3 linked regions of the Saccharomyces cerevisiae S288C genome follow. The gene in region 3 interacts genetically with the main gene of each other region. Each region holds a gene or a part of one and is shown on either strand. Other genes may lie near its edges.

What was found.
Region 1: mutations in PUB1 (region 3) and ASK10 together harm fitness more than expected from each alone (negative genetic interaction), as found in Saccharomyces cerevisiae (2 studies listed by BioGRID).
Region 2: mutations in PUB1 (region 3) and REC114 together harm fitness more than expected from each alone (negative genetic interaction), as found in Saccharomyces cerevisiae (2 studies listed by BioGRID).

The regions. Positions count from the first base shown.
Region 1 is NC_001139.9:676,744-684,930, forward strand, and holds ASK10 (Ask10p), read left to right. Parts: upstream 1-1,951; coding exon 1,952-5,392; downstream 5,393-8,187. Other genes in the region: thiamine transporter TPC1, read left to right, coding at 1-822; ESP1 (separase), read right to left, coding at 5,823-8,187. UniProt on the Saccharomyces cerevisiae protein: Positive regulator of FPS1 glycerol channel required for the glycerol efflux. As a component of the RNA polymerase II holoenzyme, is required for SSN8 destruction in response to oxidative stress but not heat shock.
Region 2 is NC_001145.3:534,195-540,404, forward strand, and holds REC114 (Rec114p), read left to right. Parts: upstream 1-2,012; coding exon 2,013-3,254; intron 3,255-3,370; coding exon 3,371-3,415; downstream 3,416-6,210. Other genes in the region: ribosome biosynthesis protein RRB1, read right to left, coding at 1-504; JLP2 (Jlp2p), read right to left, coding at 750-1,376; ERG29 (Erg29p), read left to right, coding at 3,644-4,357; glucose-induced degradation complex subunit GID8, read right to left, coding at 4,495-5,862. UniProt on the Saccharomyces cerevisiae protein: Required for the production of double-strand breaks (DSBs) in meiotic recombination initiation; not required for mitosis. Plays a role in activation of the DSB nuclease SPO11 at recombination hotspots.
Region 3 is NC_001146.8:598,832-606,842, forward strand, and holds PUB1 (Pub1p), read left to right. Parts: upstream 1-4,075; coding exon 4,076-5,437; downstream 5,438-8,011. Other genes in the region: YNL019C (uncharacterized protein), read right to left, coding at 1-399; YNL018C (uncharacterized protein), read right to left, coding at 1,105-2,943; PBI2 (Pbi2p), read left to right, coding at 6,553-6,780; HEF3 (translation elongation factor EF-3), read left to right, coding at 7,488-8,011. UniProt on the Saccharomyces cerevisiae protein: May be associated with hnRNA within the nucleus and remains associated during nucleocytoplasmic mRNA transport, once the proteins are in the cytoplasm, disassembly of PUB1-RNA complexes may occur prior to PAB1 binding and formation of a translationally competent RNP complex.

The sequences.
Region 1 (8,187 bases), on a different chromosome or scaffold from region 3:
ATCAGATTGCAATTGACCCCTGCAAATGGGCTGAAGCCCTTCGGAAGTCAGGTCATGGAGGTGGCCAGAAGCATGATAAAGAACGAAGGCATCCGGTCCTTTTGGAAGGGTAACATACCCGGTTCTTTGCTGTACGTTACCTATGGCTCAGCGCAGTTTAGTTCATACTCCCTTTTTAATAGATATTTAACTCCATTTGGACTAGAGGCGCGCTTACATAGTCTTGTTGTCGGAGCCTTTGCTGGCATAACCAGTTCCATCGTTTCCTACCCGTTCGATGTTTTACGGACCCGACTAGTTGCCAACAACCAGATGCACTCAATGAGCATCACGAGAGAAGTGCGTGATATCTGGAAACTAGAAGGTCTCCCCGGATTTTTCAAGGGCTCCATCGCGTCAATGACAACCATAACTCTAACCGCATCTATAATGTTCGGAACATACGAAACAATCAGGATATACTGTGACGAAAACGAAAAAACGACCGCCGCGCATAAAAAATGGGAACTGGCTACTTTAAATCACAGCGCTGGTACCATTGGCGGCGTCATTGCTAAGATCATTACTTTCCCCCTCGAAACGATCCGTAGGCGAATGCAGTTCATGAATTCGAAGCATCTGGAAAAGTTCTCCCGTCATTCGTCTGTATACGGTTCTTATAAAGGGTACGGATTCGCAAGAATCGGTTTACAGATTTTGAAACAAGAAGGTGTGAGTTCGCTTTACAGAGGTATTCTGGTGGCCCTTTCCAAGACAATACCCACCACTTTTGTGAGTTTCTGGGGGTATGAAACTGCCATCCATTATTTGCGGATGTACTAAAGTTTCCAATCTTTTTTGTCACATGTACACACTCATATACATATACGAAATCATCATATCTTATATTCTTCACTGACAAAGATCGGTAGCCGCCCGGTTTTCCATTCCGATTACGGCCTGACTCAGTCGCGCCGTCTTCCTCTAATAACAAAAAATCGAAAAAAAAAGAGGAATCTCGTTGCTAGCGATCTGACGCCAACCCTTTTTCCGGTTTTTCTTAGTTGCCTGCTGCCCCGCACCGGTTTTTCTTCTTTTTTTTATCTTTTTTTCCGCTCAGTCAGCGGGGAAGGGAGAGAAGGAAACAATGAATCGGATCTTCCGATGGAACCAGCGTCAGGGACCACTACATCTGCTTGTTGTTTCAACACAACTTACATCTGCGCAAGCACACGGACTAGGAGTAACAAGAAGTAGTAAAATTGAAGAAAGCAAGGACTGCTGCAATCTCTGCACCCTTGTGGTAGCCACCCTTCTTAGATGTGGCATACTTACACTTTTTTTTTTCTTTTTTTTTTTTTTTTTTCGCCTTTTCTCATTTCTTGGCTCCTTAATAGCCAAGAAATGAGAAACGTGGGAGATGTTCAACCTCGCCTGATCCTACCAAAAAAAAAAATCGCAAAAATAAGCGGGAAAAAATGTCAGATTCTAAGTTTCAAACCTCCGGAGATGATTCATCATCACCATCACCGCCGATTTGTTGGATTGCGTGTTTACGATCCATCATTTTTCTTGTAAGCGTTTAGCTTTCTGTCATCTCTTTATCTTTTTTCCTATTTTTTTTTTTCACTAGTTTTTGCACTGAATAACACCTCCCCTTACTCATAAATGTGCTAGCTGAATCCATATTTCCTAGTCTTGCATTCCCTTTCCCTTCAAACAGCGCTGCCCTTCTTCATCTTCATTGTCGAAAATAACCATTCTTCTCCTATCTTGAAATCTAAAAATAACGCTACTACAGAAAGCTTTTTTCACAGGAACTAGGGCGAAGCGTACAAGAATAAGGAAAGACAGCGTAGTTACAAACTAAACTATCTATACTATAACGACCGAAAATTTCTGTTTTTTAACACCTCTTCTACCAAACACAACGAGAGTGCATTAGAAATAGGACAAAACTGGGCTCAAACTAATGTCTGATTACTTTAGTTCCAGACCTTCGCAAACGCTCACGCCGATGGGCAATAAGCCATCTGGCGGTGGTGGCGGCGATGACGCCTCCTCCATCCACTCGAAGAGCTCGCAGTACTTGATGGACATCTTACCTGATTCGATGACCTTGAACGAAAGTGTTTCCTCCATAGTGGCAAACAATCAGGCAAAGGAGTTTATTTTGCCTGAAACAGATGAGAGATCTCCCTACTTCATAAACGTCCCTATACCAAAGGCTCAGCCAACCTCTACTACGGAAACGAAGAAGCCCCTTGCAGGTGATGAAGCTATCGATGGGCAGTTTGTTAAGGAGTATCCCACCGACATCCTTGTAGACAGGTTTTATAAATGGAAAAAAATTCTGAAAGGGTTAGTGATTTACTTGAGGGAAGTCGCGTATGCGCAAGAACAGTTCGCACGGATCAATTACCAACTGAAAGGATCTGTGAAATTTCCATTTTTGACTGATATTGATGAAACCACAAATACCATTACGGATCCATTCACAACGGCTCCTAGAGGCCCTAAGAAAGCGCAGCCTGCGCAGAAGAAAGTTGGCCTGACTGACAGCGAACAATTTCAGATGCAAATGCAACAGGAACAGCAGGAAAATGCAGTGCAGGCTCCCACAGATGAAAGTAAAATGAGTTTGGCGCCTCATGAATACAAGCCTGTCCAGACCACAGAGTCGGACAATACATCTGCCGCATCCGGTTTTGTTAAGTTCGGTTCAGGCTCGATTCAAGACATCCAGGTCATTTTGAAGAAGTACCATCTTTCGTTGGCTAACCAGCAATTTAAGATCTCTAAAGAGATTACGTCCACCGTCATTCCTAAATTGGAGGAATTGAGAAAAGATTTAAGATATAAAATTACGGAAATTAAGGACCTTCATGGTGATTTCAAAACAAACATCGGAGCACATATTCAGCTAACAAGTCAACTATTGAAAAAATACATCGCAGCTGTAAAATTCATGAACGCGCATGGTATTGGCAACGATAGAGCATCTCCTACTAATAAGAAGCCACATAAATTGGATCCAAAACATGATCCATATCTTTTGAAACTGCAACTAGACTTACAACTCAAACGTCAAGTTGCCGAAGAAACTTACTTGCAAGAAGCGTTCATCAATTTACAGAGTTCAGGTTTGCAATTAGAAAAAATTATATACACCAAAATCCAGCATGCTTTGTTGCGTTATTCTGCTTTAATTGACTCCGAAGCTCGTCTAATGATCAAAAATATGTGCCAAGAACTACAACATGGTATAATATCAAAGCCTCCTGCATTTGAATGGGATAATTTTGTCACACAGCATCCGTCCTGTCTACTCAATTGGAAATCCAACGATCCTATACCACCACCAAGAAAAGTTTCCGACGTTATTTATCCCCACATGAAATCCCCACTGGCCAAGTGTATTAAGGCAGGTTATTTTTTGAAGAAATCGGAATTGTTGCCCACTTACCACCAAGGATATTTTGTTCTAACATCAAACTATATTCATGAATTCCAGAGTAGCGATTTTTATAACCTATCTTCTTCTACCCCTAACTCCACGAAGTCTTCAGCTTATTCTTCTTCCGTTTCCATTGCAGACACTTATGCCAATGCTAATAATGCCAAAGCTAACAATCATCATCGCCAGGCTAGTGATGTACATAACAGCAGTACGACAACTGGTGGTACAGCTGGTGCAAATGGTATTCGCGGTATTCGCAAAAAGAGCTATTTGGCACCGATTATGAGTATTCCGCTAAATGATTGTACCTTAAAGGATGCATCTTCCACCAAATTTGTTCTTGTAGGTAAACCCACTCTTAATGAAAACGCTGATGTTAGAAAATCTAGCTCTAGCACTTATTTATCTGGCTCTTCACAAGCGTCTTTACCAAAATATGGCCACGAGACTGCAAAAATATTTTCAAAAGCCCCATTCCACAAGTTTTTGAAGGGAAGTAAGCCCAAAAATAAGAATACGAAATCAAGTGAACTGGACCAATTTTACGCTGCAGCTCAAAAGGAATCGAACAATTATGTGACTTGGACCTTTAAAATAGTATCTCCAGAGCCTTCTGAAGAGGAATTGAAACATTTTAAACGTTGGGTCCAAGATTTGAAAAATTTAACGAGCTTCAATGACACTAAAGATAGAATTAAGTTTATCGAAGACCGTGTGATGAAATCACACCGATTCAAGGCGGGACATATGTCAAGAAACAGCGTGAACATAGGTTCCCATACACCTTGTTTAACAGATAGCACATTCACATTACAAGACGGTACTACGACGTCCGTCAACCTAAAGGGCAGGGCGGAGAAACCTCAGTATATTCATATTCAGAACAATTCACTAGCAGATTTTGATGGAAATGGTTTTAGATCCAAGGTTAATACACCTGCTATTGACGATTATGGCAATTTGATTACGGTGGAAAGAAGACCTGCACAATCTCCGCACCAATACTCTGACTACATGGCCACTTCAGGTAACACAACTCCTTCTTATTCATCGGGCTCAAGACCTCAAAGCATGTATAATGGGTATAACCCGGCTGTATCAATAACGAGTAATGGGATGATGCTCCAACAATCAACAGCAAATAATAATACTAATCCAACAACTAATTTGCGCCACCAAAGAAATATTTCACAAACAAGTTCCCTACCTGGATTTTCATACACATCCCTATCCCTACCAGTGAATTCTCCAGGTAGCTCTAATTCAGAATCCAGCTCAGGCGGTTATTTTGCCATTCCGCTTCATGGGAACAACAACAATAATAATTACACCCAGAGAAACTCTGAAGGCTCTAGCCCATGTTATAATGACGACCAAATACGACAACAACAGCAACCTTTACAAATGCAACCTTTATCAAGAACTTCAAGTTCAAGTGTTAATGTCACAGCGATGAGAAGTACATCTGCAGGTAATTCAATTACAGCGAACGCTCCCGTTGTACCTAAGGTGATGGTCAATAACCAAAATGTTAAAACTGTTGCTGCCGATCAGTCTGCTACAGCACCTTCTTCACCTACCATGAATTCGTCCGTCACAACGATCAACCGCGAATCACCATACCAAACCTTAAAGAAAACGAACAGCACAGGCAATGTTCCTTGTTTGACTGCTGAAAAGACTCATGCGCACCCTGCTTTCTATAAACGGGGCAATAATAGCGCCCAAAATTTGACTACCTCTAGTTCAACAGCTTCTAGGGTGCATCCTATCCGAAAGCACAAGAAAAACGTATCATTTAGTTCTTTGAATAGTTTAATGTTTTCAAAAAAGGGTGCAAATCACGGTGGTAATCTAATGACTAACCAATTTATGAGTGGTGGAATTCAAGAAGATGATGGTGATTCAACTAATAATGATACTATAAAGCTAAACCAGTCGATTTATTCTTAATTGTTACGCCTTAACTTTTGTTCTCTTTTGAGAAACAGCCTGTATGGTTCGCCGTTTATTTTCTAAGCACCGTTTTTTATTCATATTTTTATAATGCAACTCCTATAGAATATAGATGTTTCGTGTTTTTAATTCCTGCTATGACTTTGTGTCAATGGTATGTGAACTAACAACTGTGTGGTAGTTTGGGATGGTACGTAAAGGTGTTCGTGATTATATAAGCAATCTTAAAATATTTGTATCGCACCATGAGGTGCCCAATAATGAAATGAAAATTACTATTATGAACTATACTAAAAAGATGAAACTTTTTTATCAATCCCAGGTTCTTTTACTTATTATTTTTGGATATAAGAACAAAATCGGATTTCCCATGCTTTTTCTCAATGCCTATATGAAATCTTTTCGAAACAGCCAGTACATGTAACAATTATGATACGAACTTGATCGGTAACCCATAAATAACAGGAGCTGCGCCGTTCAAGTAACGTAGATGGCATACACCTCTAGATTTAGAGACGGCATATGAAACAGATAGGCTATTACCATTCAAATCGTCAGTATTACAGCGAAATCCCATCTTTTCAAAAAGTTCCTCGCTAAATTTATCAATATCTTTGTCAGTTACATCCCACAGATTACCTAGTACCATAGGGCATCCTCCCAGCAAATAAGTATAGATTGTTCCAGTAGGTTCTAACTTGCCGTAATATTTCATCGCTGCTGAAGAGCAGCCCAGTAAAAAGCTGGGGGCAATTTTGGTGCATTTCTTAATCTCCTTACTCCTTACATATTGTTCACCTCCGCCATGCCCTATATAAACGAATAAGTTAGAATTTTGCAGCATTTTCAAAAGTGTTTCCTCTTCCGGCTTCTCGTTCATCACTAATTGAGAGGAAGGTTTTGCATCGATTATTTTTTGGAACATACCCTTGAATTTAGATTCAGTCCTGGACAAATCTCCGTTCGGATTTAATATCATACTAATGTTGTCCTCAATAGTTACTTGAAGGGGTAGTTGGTAATGGAAACGCGATAAAAGTTTATTCAGACAAACATAGGACGGAACACGTGTGATAGACAAATCTTTCAAAAATGAAAGACACTCCCAAGGGAATAAATGGCATGAACTGCTAACGACTAAAAATGTATGAAATATACTATTAGTTGTCATAGTTGCCCTATATTTCTTTATTTGCTCTTCTAACTGCACGTGAAGCATGCTGAAATCAATTTCGTCGTAAGCATTTTCTTCACCATGGAAGAGAAGAATATCAAGAACAAAGTATATCAGGTCTTCCATCTTCGAAAGAAAATCGATTTCTTGCGGATTAAGTTTCAAGAACAATTCGATTACCCAATCTTCAACTTTTATAAACATTGCCGGATTGCCATAGAGTTTTCTGGAAGGAAGATTTTGATGCAGAATTTCGTAAAATTTATCTTTAAATTTTTCAAATAACGAGTTGTCGACTACTTCAGGGCTAAAAAACCCTTGAACGCCATTGAACCAACTATTTTCAATGTTATTCAACAATTGTTGCATTCTTTTATCCAAATCATATCTTGTGGTCCACCAAGATTTTCTTTCTTCTCTTGTTTTAATCTTGTTGGTAACTTCCACTGACGTCGTTTGGTTGCTTTCATTGATAATAGAAAGTAGTTTTTTTGTAGCCTCCGGAAATGAGAGATGAACTTCGTCGAGGTCTCTTGAATTAGATCGTATTAGCGGTAGCCTTAAATGCGTCCTTCTCTTACGTCGCGGTTCTAATTTGGATAGAAGTAAATTTCCAGTTATGGGACAGAAGTCAATAGTTATAACATTAATATTAAGGTTGCTCTCCATTAAGTCCTTCTGGGCGGCAGATACTCTAATACTCTCTGTAATTGTGGATATATTGTTCGGAGCTATTAGTGATGAAACGCGAAATTCTCGGTAATTTTTATTATCAATATTATTCAATACCTTATCGAATAACAAAGGCATATGCCTTGGCAAGTCAGTTAGCGAAAAATTAGTTATCAAACTACTCTCAGCATTATGGATACTAGTTATGTTTGAAAGGATAGTCAGAGTTAATGAAGAAAGGGAGGAAATTTTGGACAGTTCGTGATTATCTAATGTGTCTAGTTTCAAACTCTCCAAAAGTTCTTTCATCTGTTTTAATTTACTAATAGCAGCAATTCTATCAAATTTCTGTCTTATATTCTTACCTCTAGGCGTCATGCTCGACGATCTTGGTGAATCGCAAAGCTTCAATCCTGTACTATGCTTGGAAGGAGTTTTTAAAATGTTGTTGGGCATCGTGCTAGGAATAACAGGCAGAGAAGAGGGAATCCCAAGGGTAGATTCAAACATACCTTTGAAGAAAGGATCTTCCTCCAATTGGCTCATTACTTTTTGCCACATATTGTGTACTCTATTGATTACATTTTTGGGCATATATTCGGACAGACAAATGCTGTCGTCAATATCCTTACCCAAGTGAAGCTTCCACAAATTAGGTAGGAATGTTTTTTCTAGCTGGTCACCGAAATATAGGACCAACGACTGCTCTAACTTTACAAATTCCTTATTATCATACAGAAACATTGTCAAACTTGTAATGTCTGCCTCAGCATCAAGATAATCAAATGCCTTATTGGCTTTTCCCAAAGTTATATTTTGAAGACAGGTTTGCTCTGTAATCATATAGTATCTGTGAAGAAAATGCAGACATCTGTAGACGATAATAGGTTCCTCTAAGTCAGAAATAATTCTAGACAGTTCTTTACTGTAGAACTCACAGTCTCTG
Region 2 (6,210 bases), on a different chromosome or scaffold from region 3:
CATTAGTTCATTCTCCTTTTTCCTGGAAGATTGAGTAGCCGTGGTCAACAAAATAGACTGTGGATAGTTTCTACGTTCAGAACCTAGTGTATCTGGAATGACATCTAATGTCAAGCATGGCCATGGCATATTGACATTATGTAGCATTTCATAAACAGTGGGATCAGCCTCAAGGACTTCATCTGGCCCTAATGGACGAGACATATGGGGTAAGTAAAGCTCCTGGATCTTTTCTTTGTTGCCTTCGGATTGGTCCTTTTGTACTAAAGTTTCAGCTTCTTCTTGCTTTTTCCTAAGGTCATCTTCGTCATTAATCTCATCATCGCCATCAATTTCAATAATTTCACCATCACTATCAAATTCATCACTCAATTGTTCTTCTAGGTCATTCTTGGGAGCATCTTGCTCTTCAGAGGCGGGAATAGCAGGAACAGAGTGAGATTCTGTTTTAGCAGAGACCACTCTATCTTGTTCCTCGTTGACCTCGATAGACCTTTTCGACATTATGGTGCTATTTCCGTGTATATGAAAACGGAGAGTAGGTGATATAACTATTTACCTACAAATTCAAACAACTACAATCCCTATAAGAAATGATCATCTCATCGCTAAATTCAGTTGGATTTTATTTTCTGTATTTTTCGCTGAAAGGAAAAAAATTTTCACGGCTCGAACGAAAAAAGAAACGTGATCACGATGTAAGTACAAATGGTACTCTATTTTGAAGCGTCTACGTTATGTAGATGATATCATACTTCCAGTTGCATATCGTCAGTAACCTCATCTTTAGACTGTTTGTTCTTCTTCTTTTGGTTTTTTTTCGCTACTTTCCTTAGCTTTTCTTCTTCAATAAGATTTGATCTATTCGACTCAATATAGTTTACAAAAAAATCACCATTTTTGGTCTTCTTTGCTTCGTTAAGTGTAGCTTCCACATTATTAAATAGTTCTACCCTTGTCTTGGCCAGTCTGTTTAGTATTTTGTTATCTCGTGCTCCGCATTCCATTTTTCTACATTGTCTTAGAGACTTAAATGATACTTCACCGGGATTCATATACCTGTTTTTTCTCAAGTTATGCCATGGTGTTATCAAGATGGTGCATTGTGGCATTTTGTTTCCTTGAATGGATTCTGATTTACATAGCTGCAGACAGTCACATATCACTTCTTGCGGTATGTCATCGATTGTTTTTTCATTTGGGCGTAACTTTAAATAAACATGACCACTTGAGTACTTATCCGCGTGAAACCAAACATAGTTTAACTCCCTATAGCTCCATTTGATAAGTAGATCGTTTTCAAACTTATCTTTGCCCATCACAATTTGGTAAGGTGTTGAATACTCAGTTGGTTTTGATTCATAGAAATACACCATTGTTATTGAAAAGTTGAATTTCAATTGAGCCTTATAATTCTATTCGCTTACTTTCTAAATTTTAAGTATAAGGCAGTCCTCTGGTCTACAGAGTTGTTTTGTTTTTTTATCCAAGTTCTTTGTTTCAATCTTATTGTAGTTTTTTTCCATTAAAATATTAAAGCCTAGGATAATCTATATCCTAAACTAAATATAAATTAAGAGTATAAAAGATGAAAGTAAATAGCATCTAGCATTCAGAAAAAATAAGAAGTCTCTTTTCAAATGATTGATCGAGCACAACGAATGTTTTCAAACCACTGTTAATTTTTTTATAGATGTAATGACTACTTATATGTTCTACGATGTGATTTTGTAGGAATAAAATAAAATTCAGTTTACCGTCTGCATATTCATAAACACTTAAATGACTGTTAAAGTATTCAGTATTTTAAATAATAATAACATAAATTATTAATACATACTTAAATACGAAGCCCATTTTGGTGGGTTCCTGAAAGAATATCAACTTTTTTTTACTAATAGAGAATTTCGTTACAAGGTGGGCGGCTAACTTATAAAAAGCAAAGGAGAAGGTTTTAACATATCGTCAAGTTAAGTTTGAAAGAGAGAACTAAAATAAAAAAAAAGAGAAAAATGTACGAGTACTGCTCAGTTGTAATAAAGAAATACTCCAAGTATACAATTCCCTCCTTCGCTCCAAATGGTTTTCAATCAATGCTTGAGCCTCCTCAGATAGACAAGTGGCAACACCTTTCCGCTAACTGCACTCTCCAATTTCGGGTTCTTCTAATGGACTCTAGACAAATTCTGATCAATGTGGTTCTCAATAATTCAACACTTCTCGAAAATATTCGCCTGCCGCTGGGGGATAATCAAGATTTAATACAATTTTCATGTAAAAGCCCCATAATCTCTTGTAAATATATCTCCGAAGAATTCGGACCCAGAATGTTAAGGAGGTTTCAGATGAATTTGCCAAATGACGTTGAGTTCAACAGGACTGTAGTTTCTTTAAAGAACCTTAATTTTGTTTTAAGGACAGCTAGGACATCAATAGCCCAGAGTACAATAACAAGCCAGGTGCAAGGCAATAATAACGGTACAAAGGTCTGTTTCACAGAAGGTCCAAAAGTTAGTAGCTACACAAATCCGAACACGCAATTTCAAACTCAAAACATGATTATGGATTTCAGTCAACGTTATCAGGAAGAATCTGAAAGAGAGTCAAATAATCGTTCAAATATAACTTTACCACACGACAGCATTCAAATAGCTCAACAAATATGGCCAAACACGGATTTAAATGTAGTACAATCTTCACAAGACCTCAACACTCCAATGGCTACGCAAACTGTTTTGGGTCGTCCTGAGTCGCTAATTGTACAGCCATTGGAGGTTTCTCAATCTCCACCAAACACTACCAACTGCCTTCCTAATGCAGAAAACAAAAAGAAAAAAGTCGACACCACTTCTGATTTTACTTCAAGAAAGGAGATTGCTCTGTGTAAAACTGGTTTATTAGAAACTATTCATATACCAAAGGAAAGGGAAAGTCAGATGCAAAGCGTCACTGGTTTAGATGCAACACCAACGATTATATGGAGCCCCGGGAAAGACAACACGGCGAAGAAAAATACCAGTAATAAGAAAAATATTGATGATAAACTAACAAACCCCCAAAAATCTGGAAATACACATACCCCTGATAGAAATAAAGAAGTGCTACCTAACGGCACACTTAATGAAACGAGGAAAGAAGCATCGCCAAGCGAAGGATTAACGATAAGAGTTAAAAACGTTAATCGGAATGCGTCAAGAAAAATATCTAAGCGGCTAATCAAGGAAAAGTTGAAAGACGAAGAATTCATGAAATGGGTATGTATGCATTTGCAAGAAACTGAGCTGTTTCCCCCTCTTATCCACTCATTTTCTCTGACTTGACAAAGAAATACTAACTAACAACTTTTGCCACTACAAATATGAATGAAAAGGTTAATAAGGTTGAAACGGTTCTCAATAAAATGTTCGAAAAGTGAACCCTTTTTTTGCAATTCCTTTTTACACTAGCCACGAAGTAAAATGGAAAAGTAAACCCGAGTTTCGGCAATATCGCTAAGCAAGAAGAGCAAGCTCGTTTAAGTAAGCCTTTATGAAAAAAAAACAAAATATAAAGCATTATAAAAATTGAATCACATCGCAAATCTGCAATATACTTGGAAGTGTTTATAGCAAAGTGTGGTATAGAAAAAGAACCAAAGGCCGGTATGTCGTTAAAGGATAGGTATCTAAATCTCGAATTAAAATTAATAAATAAACTACAGGAGTTGCCATATGTTCATCAATTTATCCATGATCGAATAAGTGGTAGGATAACTCTCTTTTTGATAGTGGTTGGTACGCTTGCATTTTTTAACGAACTGTATATAACGATCGAAATGAGTCTTCTACAAAAGAACACATCAGAAGAACTAGAGCGTGGAAGAATCGATGAAAGTCTGAAGCTTCATCGGATGTTGGTGAGTGATGAATATCACGGTAAAGAATACAAAGACGAGAAAAGCGGTATTGTTATTGAAGAGTTCGAAGATCGCGATAAGTTTTTTGCAAAACCTGTGTTTGTATCAGAATTGGATGTCGAATGTAATGTTATTGTAGATGGGAAAGAACTTCTGTCCACCCCATTAAAATTTCATGTTGAATTTTCTCCAGAGGATTATGAAAATGAAAAAAGACCTGAGTTTGGTACTACCTTGCGTGTATTGAGGCTGAGACTTTACCACTACTTTAAAGATTGCGAAATATATCGCGATATAATTAAGAATGAGGGCGGTGAAGGGGCAAGAAAGTTTACGATTTCCAACGGTGTCAAAATTTACAATCATAAAGATGAACTACTGCCATTGAATATCGATGATGTTCAATTATGTTTCCTGAAGATTGATACGGGAAACACGATAAAATGCGAATTCATACTATGAAAGCTTCCAAAAAAAAAAAAGAAAAATCAATTGCTAAATGCATACATGCAGGTAGGCACACACACACACACACACACACACTCACTCACACATGCACACGCACACACACATATATAAATATATACGTACTATGTATGTCAGTTTTCGACCCTAGGAACCCCTATTTGGTTGTGATGAAGCTGATTTTCGCACCAACACCACAGTTTCATTATCTGCGTCAATCTTGGTTCATAGGGAAATTCGGAAGAGTAGTAATTATTGAATTCTAAACCTTTTTCCTTTCCATTTGAAGAGGAAAGCAATTCAGAAGTTTGATTCCAGTAATTTTTATTTTCTAAGTTATGAAAAGTTGTCGCCGCTGAACCTGTGCCAACATTTCCATCCCTTTGATTTAGCCAAACTGAATTAGCAGCAGCCGTGACCTCGTTGCTTGACATCTTTTCGTTGATAGGTTGGTCAGACGAAATGTGAGTTATTTTTGTACCATTTGAACCATTGACGAGATTGTTGTTATACACCGTGAAGTTCTGCGTAATTATTTTCTTGTCGGAATTTAACAAATCTGGAAATTTGGAATTATTATTGCTGATCTCAAATTGAATCCTTGGATGAATAAACTTCAGCAGCTTCTCATTAACCAGATCTGCTATCTTAGATCTTAGAGATATCGAGTACAGATTTTGTAACGATTTGGGCAGCTTAATGCTGCCGCTGTCCGCCGAATCTGACAAGGGGAAAAGCAGCAGAGTCATTGCTAATTCTAACTCTTGCATCTTTTTGACACTTGACGAAGCCTTTATTGCAAGTTTATTTTGAGAATACTGAATTAGATTGAGTATAAAGTCGTTGGAATCCTTGGTGATGTTCTCCTGTTGATGGTGACTTCTTATCATCTCGATCAAATTCAGTAACAGCAGTTTGAAGTGTAAATCTCCATCTATGTCAAACTGCTGCTGCTGCTGCTGCTGCTGCCTGTCAGTTCTACCCGTATAACTTCCCGTAGCATTGAAAGTCTCTTCCAGCACCTCCAGCCCGAAGATAGAGTTTATCTCCTCCATCGCCTCATTGATACGCCCCAGCTTAATAAGATGTTTGATATGGAAACGCTCCTTGATCTTGTACAAATCATTGAAAACCGCAATGTCTTTGTTGTTCCGTATAAATCCCAGCTCCTTGGCCATCCTAATGCTCGAGTCTTCATATGCCATAGAAACAAAGTAGTTCAACAGAAGCCGTGGCAGTGTGGGCTCTATGGGTGTGGTCTGTATGGTAGCAAATCCCTCGTCCTGCGAGCCGCCACTGCTGTTGGGCTGAATTTTCAGCGGATAATGTATTGTCTTATTTGCATATAGCTCGCCCATGGCAGAATACTTGGCCACCTGCTCCTTCCATTCTTCCTTCGTGAAGCACTTCTTTCCATACGTAAAGTCTTTCCCACCATTCTTGCCTTGGCCGCTGCAAGATCCGCTCTTCGTGGTCTCGTTACTAAGAGTAGATATAGTCATTTCTATTTGTTACCACACACAAATATATCTTCATCCGGCTGATATTTGTCTCTACTGCCCCTTTGCTTGCAATTTAATGACCAAATTACACATGTTAGCTTCAAGAAAAATGATGTACCATCAAAATGTCTCCTGCAACGAACCGGGGCACCGCGCCGGCAGAGTCAGGAAAGCGAGATCGACACTGATAGTGATAAACAGCAACACAATGGAGCGATTACCATTCACTCGGAACGGATCCGGACAACAGTCAAATAAACTCCGGGATCCCAAAAAGGGCCGTACACACAAACCCAAGCCGAGCGAAAAACACAAAAAAAATAAAACAGGGAAAAAAGGAGCGCAAGA
Region 3 (8,011 bases):
GATTCTGCCGACCATTTCCCCAAATCCCAGTCCTACCATTTTTTCCATATCAGCATCGCTATTCAGCTTATTTTCCTGCAGATACTTCAGAAGATAGCCCCAAGCGGTGAGTAGTAGGACAATAAAGTTCAGCGCACAAGAAGTTATTTTCAAAGGACCCTTCCACTTAAATGGTGCGCAGTTGAAAAGAAACTGCATGGTTTGAATTATGTTAGTAGCAGTATTCAAAGCGGTTTCCGCTTTGTTTTGTGGTTGCGGTGCGGCAGTCACAGTTGTGATTTCGGTGATTGTTGACGTAGTAAATACAGTTGTTACATCGACCGAGTGACAAAGTACGGTTAGGGAGGTAACCAACGCAAGGAAAAGGACGGTTGTCCTTGATTCTCTGGAGTAAAGCATAATCTCGCGCACGCTCTTGCTATTGACAGCCTCGTTGTATCAACTTGTGTTTAGGAAAGGAGGCAGAATAAAGATTAAAAATGGAAGAAAAGACTCAATGGTTCCAGCGAAACAAAGATGTTTGAAAAAAAAAATAATTCAGAAACGAGTCTCTTGTCAGGAAAGCAGTGTCAGGAAAACAGTGTCTGTTCTATAGTTTGTGTTGTGTCCTTCAAGCACTTTTGGTGTTAAAAAACCTTGCTAAAGTTTTGTACAGGTTTATACCGTTGTGCAAAAACTGCTGCTAGGATAACTGAACAGTTGTTTCTGTGGCAGATGTTGTGAATAGGCGCCTTTATTTTAAGGGTCCAGTGATCCGCGATGTGAATAAATACGCGCGCCTCTCTCGAAGGAACCTTCTGGGGCTGCTTCTGTCGATAAGAAAGCTTGGCAAAGGCCTTACTTGGCATTTAAGTAAAGCCTTTGCTTTACTGCTTCTTTCCCGCCTTTTTGGTGCATTGGGTTAATTGATGAATATGCGTAAAATTTAAATCAGACTATGAAAACATATATAACAACTATTACAAGAGAGGTGGTAGTCTACTTGAAGAGGCGCGCCAGAAGAAAACGGTGGTAAGTACGAAGTTATGTGTAGACTAACTTGCTTGTTAAAAAGTATTTGGTCAGCCGTGCCAAACAGTTCGAACTATCAGAACTTCTGACGGTTCACTGATGTACAAAAGTTGAGAGCCATTTTCGTAACCAGCTTTTTGTCCCACGCTCAGAAGGATGCATTGGTACGGTCACTTCGATATTCCTTCTTTGTGAGTGGAGCCAGAGCTTTTTATTAGTTTTTAGTTCAGTTGCTGTGCGAGACTCACGAACAAGTAGCAGCCGGCATGGTTTAGATGGTTCTGGCACGGTAAGCTGAGGAGCGCTATTATTATTGCGGGTACTACAGTCATTAGAAGATGGAATGGATTCCTTGCATATGTCTATCAGTGCCTGAAACGCCCTCTCAATGAGGGAGGTGTCAGGACTCAAAATTAAGGATTGTTCGGCGGGATGCGGTAAGCCTTCGTATACTAGGTTGTTGGACGGAAAAATCTGATACGGCTTGATCTGAATGTTAGGATCGACCTTACTGTCTAAAGTATCGAGAGTGATGTTTCCTTTTCGGTTTAAAGACTTCTTCTCGCCGACATCGAGAGAAAAATGAATGTGATCAAGAACCAGATCTATTTCTCTTTGTGTGTTTTTCCAGGGACAAGAAATGGAGTAGGGCTCAATCCTCTGGAAACCTTCGTATTTGTATTGGTATGAATAAAAACGGCACTCTGCTTCCTCCATAAGTTGGTCGTAGCTGGGCATTGTATCGAAGTTGAAGGGTCTCTTCCAGAATGGAATACTTTTATTTGAAGGGTTGTAGTACCTTCTGGGCTCAGATTGTTCGTCTAAAAGCAGGTATTGAACAGCTATCATCTTGCGCTCAAATTTAAATTCGAGGGAATCGTAGTCAATGTTCTTTGTACTTCTCAGAAAGAGTGGACAGTATTTTCCCATTTTGCTTTCAAACCAGTTCTGTGGCCTGTCAAGGTACTGTTGCATGTATGAAGGAACTACAGTAGTCAACGTGTGGTTAGACTGGGAAAATTCCGCTGTGGACACGACGCTGCAGCTTATATTTTGATTGCAGGGAGCAGGAGCGCAGGCATCTTGTTTAGATTTTCGGCTTGGATAATGTTTGTGGTGATCAGTGGAATTTGTTGGGCAGTAAATTTCAGTTGGAATGATAGATTCATTCGTCTCTTTTGTTCTGGAGTCCTTGGTGCGGCGGAAATCAAAGCAAGTCACTTCTGCGTTAAGCGATGCGAAATTGCCGTCTGGAAATGACGATATGTGTGGAGAATGAGGAGGATTCCATGACGAATAAACTGATGAGGATGTGCTAACAGATGAGGTTAGTGAGGGTACCGATTCGTTGTTTTCTGATGCAGAGTCTGTTGTGGGAGATGTGGTAGCGTTATTTCTTTGCACAAGAGAAGATGGGAGCATAGCACGGTTGTGGGAGGAGGAAGAAAACATCACGTTGCAAGTATCGTTTACGGAGTGGGATAAGAGGTAGGAGGTTGTCATAGCGGTGCTTTCTTCCTGATGCATGGCAGAAGAAGTTGGCAGTAATTCGTTTATTATGGTGACATTGTCGTGATTAGAAAGGACTGTCTCTTTTACCATTGCCTCGGGTATGTTTTTTGGCGCCTGCCTTGAACTTACTCCAGAACAAGCCTCAGCAGAAGAATGACCGGAATGATTCCTCTTATACACGTTCCAGAGTGGAGCATTCTTGACATCATAAAAAAAGTTGCTGACAGGATCTTTGGACTGGTTGACGTTAAGTGGTTCCGTAGCTGGTCTGATGTTTTCTTGTACGGTATCACTGACGGCTGAGAAACCTTCAGAGGAACCGTTTTCGGGAACAGACTTGGAGGATTGCAAATTAAGCCATTGAAAGTCTAGCCCAACCTTGTTGCAGAAGGCCTTGAACTCCTGGAAAGATGTAGACATTATGTGGGCGAAAAACAAAATTAGACCAACGCTTTAGCAAATTTTTTCAACCTCAAATTGATATTTGAAGATTAGATCGGATGGTTTTTTTTCCTGTGGTGTAGGCCAAGCTTAAACAAGGTTTTAAGTGAAAGTGGAAATAATTGTGATAAACATGCGGAAAGAGTGCCAGCCTTAAATAATTCCGCATTGTTGCTATGTCGTTTTGTTTTTGTTTTTGTTTTCGTCTTATTGGTATTTGTTCATTTTACGACCACAAAGGATCCAGGGCTTCTACTTGCACAGGGAGGGTTGCTTGGTTAATACAATGCAAAGGTCAGAGATATTAAGATTTGTGAAGGGTGCATTCAATGAGTTTTTCCTTTAATGTGCCCTAGAAAGGAAGTAGTACGAACATTTCTCAGTCGGAGTTTGCCGGAAATTCGAATGACAGTGTAAGTTGATTTTTGTGGCACAGAGATAATGAGCGGTGGTTCTGGCACACATTTGTGACGTTGGTTTGATAGTGTGGAGGGAGGGTGAAAAACAGATAACAATGGTCTCTTGGCCCAGTTGGTTAAGGCACCGTGCTAATAACGCGGGGATCAGCGGTTCGATCCCGCTAGAGACCATTCTTTTTTTACATTTCTCGCAATGTGATTTATTTTGCTTACCCTTCCCACTGCCGTTACAAGGGAGGTGAACGAAGAGGCTTGTTAGCATAAGGTTTACGCGTTGCGGTTGTAAGCACAATGTTCTTACTAAACCTCTGAAGATTAATTATCCTAACGTATACTAATTAATTCAAAGAGAATATTTACTCGTTCTCTTTTCATCATTTTGTAACATAATTCTTTACGTATTTTCACTTCGTACTTTTTTCAACTTTTTTTGCCTTCGCTTCTTTTTTGTTGTAATTTTTCAATTTTTTTTTTTCATCGTTGGCCGTCTTTCCTTGTCCTTCATTTTCCTCTCGTAATAATCATTCAACTACGGTAAAGCATGCCTTTCCTTTTTTCTACTCTGCAGTTATTTTCATAATATCTACTGTTTCCATTTCGTGCTTTAAGTTAGAGTTTAATCTTCCCTTCTATCATCTTAATAGCAGGTTCATAATAAGAAGATTACCACATCTACTCTTTGTTCGATTCCAATGTCTGAAAATAACGAAGAACAACATCAACAACAACAACAACAGCAACCTGTTGCCGTCGAAACTCCCTCGGCAGTTGAAGCTCCAGCATCAGCAGATCCTTCTTCTGAACAGAGCGTCGCTGTCGAAGGCAATTCTGAACAAGCTGAAGACAATCAGGGTGAAAATGATCCTTCCGTAGTTCCTGCTAATGCTATTACCGGTGGTAGGGAAACTTCCGATAGAGTTTTATATGTTGGTAACCTAGACAAAGCTATCACCGAAGACATTTTAAAGCAATATTTCCAAGTTGGCGGACCAATTGCTAACATCAAAATCATGATCGATAAGAATAATAAGAACGTCAATTACGCTTTTGTTGAATACCATCAATCTCACGATGCCAATATTGCCTTACAAACATTGAACGGCAAACAAATTGAAAACAACATTGTCAAAATCAACTGGGCCTTCCAATCCCAACAGAGTTCCTCCGATGATACATTTAACTTGTTTGTCGGTGATTTGAATGTTAATGTTGATGACGAAACTTTAAGGAATGCCTTCAAAGACTTCCCATCCTACTTGAGTGGTCATGTTATGTGGGACATGCAAACTGGTAGTTCAAGAGGTTACGGTTTTGTTTCCTTTACTTCTCAAGATGATGCACAAAATGCCATGGACAGCATGCAAGGTCAAGATTTGAATGGTAGACCGCTAAGAATCAACTGGGCTGCTAAGCGTGATAACAATAACAATAATAATTATCAACAGCGTCGTAACTACGGTAACAACAACCGTGGTGGTTTCCGTCAATATAACAGTAACAACAATAACAACATGAATATGGGGATGAATATGAACATGAATATGAATATGAACAACAGCAGGGGCATGCCACCAAGTTCAATGGGAATGCCAATTGGCGCCATGCCATTACCATCTCAAGGCCAACCCCAACAATCCCAGACCATTGGTTTACCTCCTCAAGTAAATCCTCAAGCTGTTGACCACATCATTAGAAGTGCCCCACCAAGAGTTACTACTGCCTATATCGGTAATATTCCGCACTTTGCCACTGAAGCTGATTTAATTCCGTTGTTCCAGAACTTCGGTTTTATTTTAGATTTCAAGCACTATCCAGAAAAGGGCTGTTGCTTCATAAAGTATGACACTCATGAACAGGCCGCTGTTTGTATTGTTGCCTTGGCAAACTTCCCATTTCAAGGCAGAAACTTGAGAACCGGTTGGGGTAAGGAAAGATCAAATTTTATGCCACAGCAGCAGCAACAGGGCGGTCAGCCACTTATAATGAATGACCAACAACAACCGGTTATGTCTGAGCAACAACAGCAACAGCAGCAACAGCAGCAACAACAATAAATATTATGAAGAAAAGTGGAATGAAACAAAAAGAAAGAATAAAGAGAGGCAACCTACAAATCCCAAGATAAAATAAAAAAAGAACGACAAGAATCCATTCATTATATTATACTATTTTTAAAAAAAAAATTACTACGAAAAAGGGAGAGAAAAAGAAGAAGAAACTCAATTTACTATTGCTCGAAAAATAAAAGGGCCTATAAACTTACTCTATTTTTTTAGTTTTTCTGTGTCTTATTTCCTTCCTTCGTCACTGTTTAATTTTTAATACTATTATTTTCCTTTAAAATGTGAAAGTCATTGCTAATAGTGTGATAAAAATAAAGAACGTATTTTCTGAAGGCTTTCTTTATTATATTTCCTTTTTCCTTTCTTACCCTATTTTTTTTAAACATCCATCCCACTGTATTTTGTCGAGTCCATATATATAATTTTTGTTTTTATTTTTTACAACTTTTGTTAAGTATATAAAAATGCTACCTAGCGTTATGGAGACATGTCAGTCTTGAGTCCAGGCACATAAAGGCAACAGCCACTACCACTGCGCACCCGTGACGCTGCTCCAACGTTCTCATTAAGTACGGAACTGTGTTTCGAACAAAAGAATGGCTGTTAAGACCAAAAAAAAGGCAGCTTAACAGGAACCCGGCTGGTTCCACAGGACTTTTCTTTCTTTAGGGAAAGGTTGTGAAAATGACAACCAAAAAGTCGCGACGCCAAATATCAAAAACCTAGATGATATTACTTCGTCTGCCAAACACCTCCTTTCCCTCTATCCAGCCCTTATTTTTTTTCCAAGAGCTTCATATGCACGCCCGAATCATTTCGAATCGCGTACGTGGCAGGTTGTGGCTGGCATCTTTCCCAAAAGGAAACGGACCAATACCACGCATCCCCGAGCTCTTGGTCTTTCTTTATCTTGCATAGCCCAAAAAATAAAATGGGGCGGGAAAAAGGGGGCATATCAGAGCATCGGGAACTTCTTTCAATGCAATATATATGGCACATATAAAAAATTCTGGCTTCATTATGTTAGGTGCAGAGATTCCGTTTAGACCAATTGAACGGTAACCAGAAGGTAATCTTAAATATACAAACAAAAAACAAGGTCCATAATGACAAAGAATTTCATCGTCACTTTGAAAAAGAACACTCCAGATGTGGAAGCTAAGAAGTTCTTGGATTCAGTTCATCACGCAGGTGGCTCTATTGTACACGAATTCGACATCATTAAAGGGTACACCATCAAGGTACCAGATGTTCTCCACTTGAACAAGTTGAAGGAAAAGCACAATGATGTCATCGAGAACGTCGAAGAAGACAAAGAAGTTCATACAAATTGATTCCTGAGATAAACGCAAACACTTTTTTACTCGGAAATTTTCTCTCCCCGATTGTAAATTTATTTCTCGTCTACTATAATAATTCACCAAAAAACAGCAGAGCACGTCCTATATATATATATATATATATATATATATATACATATATATATACGAATATATTTATGACAGTCTAAATCGTTGCTCCTGTTCAATTTTAACGCTCTTTTATAACTGCTGTGGCGCCATTTCTTTGGCATCTAAGATGTGTCTCGGGACTTTCTTTTTCTGGTCATCTTGCTTTCCTTGCCTTGTCATTAACAGAGCTAAACTGTGTTGAGGAAGTGGTCTTTTAAATTTTCAAGGTCGCGGCCCGTGCATTGCGCGGCTGGATGTCTTTTAGGGGAGCGATGCGCTTGCACAAAAGAATAGCCTTGATTTCCGCTATTAATGGGTATATTCTTCTAACAATTTGAGTTTTTTCTCCACTTGTTTCTTTCTTCTTTCTCTTTTCCATTCACATTTTGCTTTACTTTTCTGGATAATATATATGTGCATATATATATATCCATTTAAATATATATATATATATATCTTTTGTCCTCCTCTCCAGTTACTTTTGCGCCAGAAATTCCTTCTTCTTTTCAATCTAATAGAGAAGGGTAGATAGTGTGGTGCAAAAAAAGAGCCTTTTAAACCAAAAATAAATAAAAAAAAGGAATCACAAAATGTCAGATTCACAACAATCAATCACCGTTCTAGAAGAGCTTTTCCGAAAGTTGGAAACTGCTACTTCAGAAACAAGAGAGGGTATTTCTTCGGAGCTTTCCTCATTTTTAAACGGGAACATCATCGAGCATGACGTTCCCGAAGTTTTTTTTGATGAATTTCAAAAAGCTATCCAGAGTAAACAAAAGGCGCTCAACACGCTGGGTGCGGTGGCTTACATAGCAAATGAAACTAATCTATCACCTTCTGTTGAACCGTACATAGTTGCGACGGTCCCTTCTGTATGCAGTAAAGCTGGTAGTAAAGATAATGATGTTCAACTTGCGGCAACAAAGGCCCTCAAAGCCATCGCTAGTGCTGTTAACCCGGTTGCCGTTAAAGCACTCTTACCTCATTTGATTCATTCGCTGGAAACTAGCAACAAGTGGAAAGAGAAGGTTGCTGTTCTCGAAGTAATCTCTGTATTGGTAGATGCCGCTAAAGAACAGATTGCCTTAAGAATGCCGGAACTAATTCCCGTTCT